Macaca mulatta: one gene and its partner. The protein of the gene in region 2 purifies or fractionates together with the protein of the main gene of each other region. This does not show direct contact. Links are inferred from orthologs where the notes say so. Each region holds a gene or a part of one and is shown on either strand. Other genes may lie near its edges.

Region 1 (3,747 bases), on a different chromosome or scaffold from region 2:
GCTCCCCCTACCTTATACCCCCAAAGGTTACCTGTGGTAGCTGAATGCCCTCGAAAGACATGGGATGTTCAGAGAGCGTGGCCTGTGCAAACAGTGCTAGCAGAGCACAGCGGCTGTCAAAATCCAGGTGTTTCTCAATGGCTTCTTGTTGGCTCAGTGACAGAAGGATTTGAGTCCGGGTCCCTGTAACCCATATCCCAATTAGTAACTTCTCCCTAATCTCACCCTTCCTAGAAATCTTAGACCCTCTATTCTTTCAATCCAATCCTTTTGCCATCACACAATGGGAAAGAACTGATTTGCTTCAAAAGCTAAAATTTGACAACTTATATACATACACACACGCACATAAACACCATCTACAATAGTCTAAACTGTAAATTCTTCCTTTGCATAAAAAGCAACTAATTAATATGAGGTTATTGAAGATAGTCTTTCCTCTTTTGGCAGATAACCCCCACCCTCACTCCCATTCCCACCTCCTTTTCTTCCAACTCTAAGAGAAGGGCAACAGAATCATTTACGTACTGATGAGATCAGAGGCTCCTGCCACAGTGTCCTGTGAGTCCCTGAGCCGACCCAGCCCTTCTGCTTTCCCTTCCTCCCCACACTGCCCCTCACCAGCATCATGGGAGGACAGGGCTTGTATCATCCGGCCTGCGCTCCAGCGAATCTGATAATCGGGACTACTCAACATGTGCATGAGCAAGTCCAGGACTCTTGGGTCCTTGAATACCCCAGTGAGGGGCTCGATGCTGGCATAGGCGCTGAGCACGTGGACAGTGTGAAGTAGAGGAGCAGGAGGGATGGTGCCCACACACTCCTCCAGCTGCCGAAGGGCTCTCTGAATGAGGGACTTCACATCGGTTTCCATCTCCTCCAGCACAGATTTGTCCAGGGCCCCAACCTCCCCTGAAGACTCCTGGGAGGGCCCGATGACCTGGCCATCCTCGCCCAGCATCTTGTGGCAGTTGGCATAGATCTCATCCTTGGACATCCACAGCAGGATGTGCTCAGCCTTGCAGTCCACTTGGCCAGAGCCCCCGTCACCCTCATCGCCACGCCGCAGGATGAGCCAACGGATCTGGTACTCAGGATGCCCATCATGGCCCACTCGCTGGCGGATCAGCTCATCAGGATAGGCATGTAAGCCAGGCCCCAGGGGCACCCTGAATTCCCTGTAGCGGAGTTCCCCCACCATCCTGGCACCTGGAGCACACAAGGAAAAGAGAACAGACAAGCTAGAGTAAGGAGAGGTCAGAAAATCAAAGACATCCAGGAGGTGGGGAAGCAAATGGCAACAGCTGTCAGGCGGGGTGGGGTAAAGCCAGGCCCAGGAGTTGCATGCTGCATGCTGAGTCGGGGCAGGCCTAAGCAGAGAACACTGGGGTGTTTTGTTGTGAAATAACACAAAATTTGGGGGCTAAAAGGAAGGTCCCCAAGACCCTGAGGCCTGGAGTGGGTTGGTTTGGAACAGTGGGCAGACTAGTGGGGGCAGGCAGGGCAGCCTTGGAGTTACAAGTGAATCCCAAGGCCTTGAAACAGGCAGCTACCCTGGGGATATGTGAAGCCCAGAGGGGTATGTTTGGGAGGGAGATCCTGAGTGTGTGTGGAAAGGGGTGCTGTCTCTAAGGATTGGAGCATGGGAGTGTGAGACCCAAGTTAAGAGTCCCGAGATCGCAGAGTTAAGAGACCTGAGAACTGGTGGTGGAGTGGGAGGGCAAGGCGCGATGGACTGGGAGGAGGCACTGGTGGGTTGGAGGCGCCTCTGACTGGAGCGACTGGAGCAACTGGAACAAAAGGGCTGGTGGGGGCGCCGCGAGACCCAGGGCAGGGTGCACAGACAAGGTAGGTGAGGGGCGCGAGGCTTGGGGGACCGAGGTTGGAGACCCGAGAAGCCAGGGGCGCGCGGTAAAGTGGGGGAGGGGGGATTAGGCCCCATAAACTAGAACCCCGAGGCCCAGTAGGATGGGGAACCGAGGTTGGGTGAGCGCAAGGCTCGATGGGCAAGTGGGCAGGAGAGGAGCAAGGGGCCGCGGCGGGGCTCTGGCCACCTCAGAAGTCCACCGGGGTCCTGGCGCGAGGCCTGTCCTTCACAGAGCAAGGGACGCGGCACAGATGCTGGCGGCGACTCGGGCCCCACCTGGGCCCCGCGAGGGGGTCGAGACGGAGAGACAGGAAGGGGCGTGCCTCTGCGGAACAGAGCGGTAGCCGCCTGGGTCGGCAGCCACTGGGGCAGGGTGGAGCCTGGTCCCTGCCAGCGTCTCCGCCAGCCAAAAGCCACGGCTCATTTCCGCCGGACCCAGCGGAAGGCTAGGGGCCCTGGGAAAGGGCCGGGGAGGAGCCGCGGATGCCACCTTGGCGACGCAGCACCTCCTCCTCTGCGCCGCCCTTTCCTCTTCCTTTTGTCCTCCCTCCTGCGGAAGTGCCCACCCTGTTTCCCAGTCACAACTGGAAAAGGCCTTGGACGTCATTTATTTCCACCCCCGGCTCCATTACCTGTAAGGGAATTGGGGTGGGGACAGACCCAGTGTCCTGTACTTTCTTTTCCTCCCACACTTTTTACTTCTTTTCCCCACGTTCAGTCTGTACCATCCCCTCCCGCAAAAAACCAGTAACAGATTACAGGAGGGGGAGGCATTTTATTAGAGTACAGGGATATCAGCTTTGGGCAGCAGCAGAAGGCAGCTTCACGTAACTCTTCATAGGGGGTAGTGGCCGAATCTTTCGGCCAGCCCAGCCTCCCTTGCGGTGCCATCGCCCACTGTTAGGCCTCTTGCCCAGCCAGCGGTTGCGACCTGCCTTGCCAATGACCCGTTTGTTATGATCAACGTTGGATACTCGGCCTACTGTTGCTATGCACGTTTCCAGCACCTGACAGAGAAAACAGATGGAGATTCTATACAATGTGGGGGAAAGCGCTTGACAGTGTTGACAGCAAAACCCTTGGGGGCTTCTTAGACTCAAGGAGAGGAGAGAGGAAAAAGGAAAAGCACAAGATGGTTGAAGCTAAGTGAAGGTCCTACAGTAGGAACTAGGTAGTTGAAAACAAAGAGCTGGGCGCAAGGACTCAGGCCGGTAATCCCAGCACTTTGGGAGGCCGGGGCTGGAGGATCACTTGAGCTCAGAAGTTCGAGACCAGCCTGGGCAACATAATGAGACCCCATCTCTACAAAAATAAAAAATATTAGCCAGGGCCAGGTGCAGTGGGTCACACCTGTAATTCCAGCACTTCGGAAGCCTAGGCAGGCAGATCGCTTGAGCTCAGGAGTTTGAGACCAGCCTGGCCAACATGGTGATACCTTGCCTCTACAAAAATACGAAAATTAGCCTGGTATAGTGGCGTGCGCCTGTAGTCCCAGCTACTTGGGGGGCTGAGGCAGAATTGCTTGAACCCAGGAGTTTGAGGCTGCAGTGAGCTGACTGTGCCACTGCACTCAAGCAATAGAGACCCTGTCTCAAAAAAAATTAGGGTCGGGCACAGTGGCTCACTCCTGTAATCTCAGCACTTTGGGAGGCCAAGGCAGGCGGATTACGAGGTAAGGAGTTCGAGACCAGCCTGGCCAACGTGGTGAAACCCCATCTCTACTAAAACACAAAAATTAGCCAGCTGTGGTGGTGCATGCCTGCAATCCCAGCTACTCAGGAGGCTGAGGCAGGAGAACTGCTTGAACCTGGGAGGTGGAGGTTGCAGTAAGCCAAGATCGTGCCACTGCACTCCAGCCTGGGCGACAGAGCAAGACTCTG
Region 2 (3,747 bases):
AAAGTTAGGCAATTAGGCCAGGCGTGGTGGCTCACGCCTATAATCCCAGCACTTTGGGAGGCCGAGGCAGGTGGATCACGAGGTCAGGAGATCGAGACCATCCTGGCTAACATGGTGAAACCCCGTCTCTACCAAAAATACAAAAAATTAGCCGGGCGTGGTGGCGGGCGCCTGTAGTCCCAGCTACTTGGGAGGCTGAGGCAGGAGAATGGCATGAACCCAGGAAGCAGAGCTTACAGTGAGCCGAGACCGCGCCGCTGTACTCCAGCCTGGGTGGCAGAGCAAGACTCCGTGTCAAAAAAAAAAGTTAAGCAATTAATTCCAAAGGACTTGAGTTCTGGCAAAAAAAAAAAAAAAGGAATTTAAAATTAAAAGTCCAACAATTTCTTACCATCTTCAAATTCTTTTTTTAAAAAAGAAAACATACATAAAAGAAAAACAACAACAAAAAGAGTAGCAATACCTGGTACAGATTAATTCAAGGCCTCTTAAAATTCACATACAACTTTTAAAAGGCCCATGCTTCTCAAGTATTCATAATCCAATGATGTCACTATTAACTTATGGTACCTCTGAAGTTTTCTAGGTGTGTTGTATTAAAAATCGCATATATTTTCACAAAAGTGTATCATTTGGCATTTAAAACATGCATCACACCCATTTTATGTTCAAAGACTTATGACCCATTACATCGGTTAAAATATTCATTCAGCTTCTCTGAGACAATTGTCCGCAACCCCAAAGCAAACAGGTTCTTAGGCAAAGGAAGCAAAAAAGTAAAGCGTGTTTTAAAACCAGCCACTGAAATATCCTACTCTCACTCATCCATGGTTGGAGAGAATCAGATTTCACTTTGCAATTCACAAACATGTCTGCTTCTCCATGTTGCTTAGCGCTTGCCAATAATGCCGTTGTCCCTGCTCAATGAAGAAGGACCCAGAGTAGAGGACCCTTCCTGTGACAAGACAACAATAAAAGGTATCTCCAAAAGAAAATATTTTAACGTGAGTCCAATTTTTAATTATAAAACATTTAAACATGTAATTTTTATATCAGATAGTACTGAAATGAACAGTGCAGAATCACAAGTCTAACAATGCAGTTGATAAAATTACTCTAAAAGCAAGACGACCGTTTCATATTTCTTTCAAATAACTCAAGTGCTTAGTCATAGTCAAATTCGTGGATTGGGTTACTCTTAAGGGAGTTGAGATCTTACTAAATAGCAGGTAGGTAATCGGTTAAATCTGTAATTCGATGCACTTGGTAATACTAAACTAAAAGATAAGTTTTAGTGTTACAGTAGAATAAAGTGCAAAATTTTTAAGTAATAATGGATGAAATTTTGATTTGAAATGTTTTCAAAACAATTCCATTCTAAAGAAAGAGGCCTAAAGGCTCCTGCACTTGTAAATAATTCTCCATGGCCAGCATAAAGTGGGTTCTATCACATCATAAAGGGAAAAAAACCCCTGCGTTTTAAGTGACCCGAAATTCTGCCACTGCTTTTTAGACTGCACAGTGGAGGAGACTATTGTTCTATGACACAGATACATTCTATTGTGACGCTCTAATGGAAAAATGCATGTTCCTAAAACCCAAACGTGAAGTTCCCACTAAAAGTGAACCAAAGCAGCTGGACATCCTATTTCTTTAAAAGCCAGACACTTCGAGTTAAGTTATACACAGCTCTTACAAGTCACACCACTCTGAAGATGGTATCTGCTATCACAATAGTTATTTCAACGACTCCAAGTCATAGCAAAACAACGCGAAGAAATATTTACAAGGAACAGGCGGCTATGTGCAGAAACTCGGCGCCCGCACACAGTTAGCCAGGACCGACGGGTAGCTAGTGACGCCAGACACGGGGGAGAAAGGATGGCAGCCAAGAACCGGGCGGCCTCAGACCACCACCGCAGCTCTCCCTCCCGACCACAACAAAAGCCAGACACCGACACACGCCCATGCTCACGACAGCCAAGGGACCCCCATTCACAACCCCGCCGCCACCCCCGCCCTAGTCCCCGGGACAGCAGGCTTAAGGCCAAGAGAGGCCCCCGGCCATAGCCTGGGCCTTGCAGCCGAGCCTGCGCCGGCTGACGCTCGGCCGGTGCAGAGAAAGCCCAGCCCGGGGTTCGGCTCACACTTATGGAGCGCTGTGAGGACGCGCGGCCAGAGCAGGCCTCGCTGAATCGGGGGCGGAGAGGGTGGACGAGACCTGATGGTGTCTCCCGAAGAACGGGGTCGACAACACGATCCACCGGGCCCGAAAGAAGGCCAGGCCCAGTCACCGCCCGCCGCGGGCAGGCCCAAACCGCAGCAGTGAGGCCAGCCTGCATGCAATCCGGGAGCCACGACCCTTTCCAGCTCAGTGGGCGGCTACTCACGGTGTTCGGTGTTAAGGAGACTGCCGGCGGGAGGCTGACGAGAGCTAGGAGACGTCAGCGGAGGAACAGAAAAGCGGAGGACGAAGCCACTACAGCCTCTCGGCGCGGCGCGGCGTCTGCTTTATAGGAGAGGGCGCAGGCGCCGAGGACCCCGGGGCGCGCGGCGTCACACAGCGGCTGGGCTGGCCGCCGAGATCGCCTGACGGCAGGCCGAAGACGGCGGGGCGGGCCCAGGCCGGGAGGCGACGAGGAGCTGCCGGGGCGGCTGGCCGGGGGGTTGGGGAACGGGAGAGCTTTCGCCTTTCCCTAGCTCTGAAAGCGCCGCGCTCTCTCATCAACTGGGTGCCGAACCCTGACTGGCCTAGAAAGGTCTTTCAGGCAGGGGCGCCCTAAGCCGAGTAAAATACCCCAGCTAAACGGCCTGGAAAAAACAAAACGGGGCGTGTGTGCGCCTATGTGTGTGTTCCTGGGAACAACAGAACGGGGCGCGCGCGCGTGTGTGTGTGTGTTCATTCCTGGGAGGGGCTGCGTGTGTGTGTACGCGCGTGTGTTCATTCCTGAGGTGTATGTGTGTGCGCGCGCGGGTGTGTGTGTGTTCATTCCTGGGGTGGGGATGGGGGGGCGCTTGTGTGTGTGTGTTTTACTACTGAACTGATACAGCTTGTCCAGCCTCCATTCTCCACAGTAACCCTCCGAGGTGAAATAGTGTTAGCCTTTTCGCCTCTGCAGTGAGGGAACAGGTTCGGAACGGTTAAGTGGCAGAGCCAGGATTTGAACATTACTCCACAGTTAGGTGCCGTTAGCCCTTATTTCCTACTATTGACTTCTAAAGAGGCTTCCGTGCCAAAAATAGCCATCGTCGTAGGGAAACCCCAAATCTAGAGAGATGGCTTCCATCTAGCAATAGGTACCCATTCCTTCACTAAACATGCTCTGAGCCCGACATGCGAGGCGTGGTGCTGGGGATTCGGCAGTGAACCAGGCAGCCAGGGCCCGGCCTGGACAGAACTCTTGTCTGGGGTGCTCCCAGGAAGGCTGTGATGAGGTCGATGGAATGAAGCCTGCAGTAAAGGAACGGGAGTAGTCTGAAAGCCCCACCCCGCTCTGCTCGGGAACGTTATTCTCCCTGTCCTAGGAGACTGGGCGCCGGGCTCGTCTAGCCAATAGGCACGTGATGGTATCCCTGACACAGGAAGACAAAAGATACTTCCACACAGGGCCCCCTGAAGAAACCGGAGACGTACAGTGCCTCTGGGATGGGACTGGGCAGGAATGCCAAGCAGCTTCTTGAGTTACCAGGTCTTTGTCTACAAGCTGTGGTATCCAGTGTCTGCCAGGTGCCACAGCTGATGACAGA

Evidence for each region.
Region 1: the proteins of SKP1 (region 2) and CUL7 purify together in Homo sapiens (affinity purification with mass spectrometry; 8 studies listed by BioGRID and IntAct, with this or other methods). This does not show direct contact. The link is inferred for Macaca mulatta from reciprocal best matches to the Homo sapiens genes SKP1 and CUL7.

The regions. Positions count from the first base shown.
Region 1 is NC_133409.1:139,074,383-139,078,129, reverse strand, and holds the start of CUL7 (cullin-7), read right to left. Parts: upstream 2,443-3,747; 5' UTR 2,292-2,442; coding exon 2,144-2,291; exon of another isoform or gene 2,055-2,143; intron 1,791-2,054; exon of another isoform or gene 1,695-1,790; intron 1,210-1,694; coding exon 529-1,209; intron 184-528; coding exon 32-183; intron 1-31. Other genes in the region: MRPL2 (large ribosomal subunit protein uL2m), read right to left, coding at 2,662-2,874. UniProt on the Homo sapiens protein: Core component of the 3M and Cul7-RING(FBXW8) complexes, which mediate the ubiquitination and subsequent proteasomal degradation of target proteins. Core component of the 3M complex, a complex required to regulate microtubule dynamics and genome integrity.
Region 2 is NC_133411.1:143,076,433-143,080,179, forward strand, and holds the start of SKP1 (S-phase kinase-associated protein 1), read right to left. Parts: upstream 2,491-3,747; 5' UTR 2,391-2,490; exon of another isoform or gene 2,222-2,390; intron 1-2,221. UniProt on the Homo sapiens protein: Essential component of the SCF (SKP1-CUL1-F-box protein) ubiquitin ligase complex, which mediates the ubiquitination of proteins involved in cell cycle progression, signal transduction and transcription.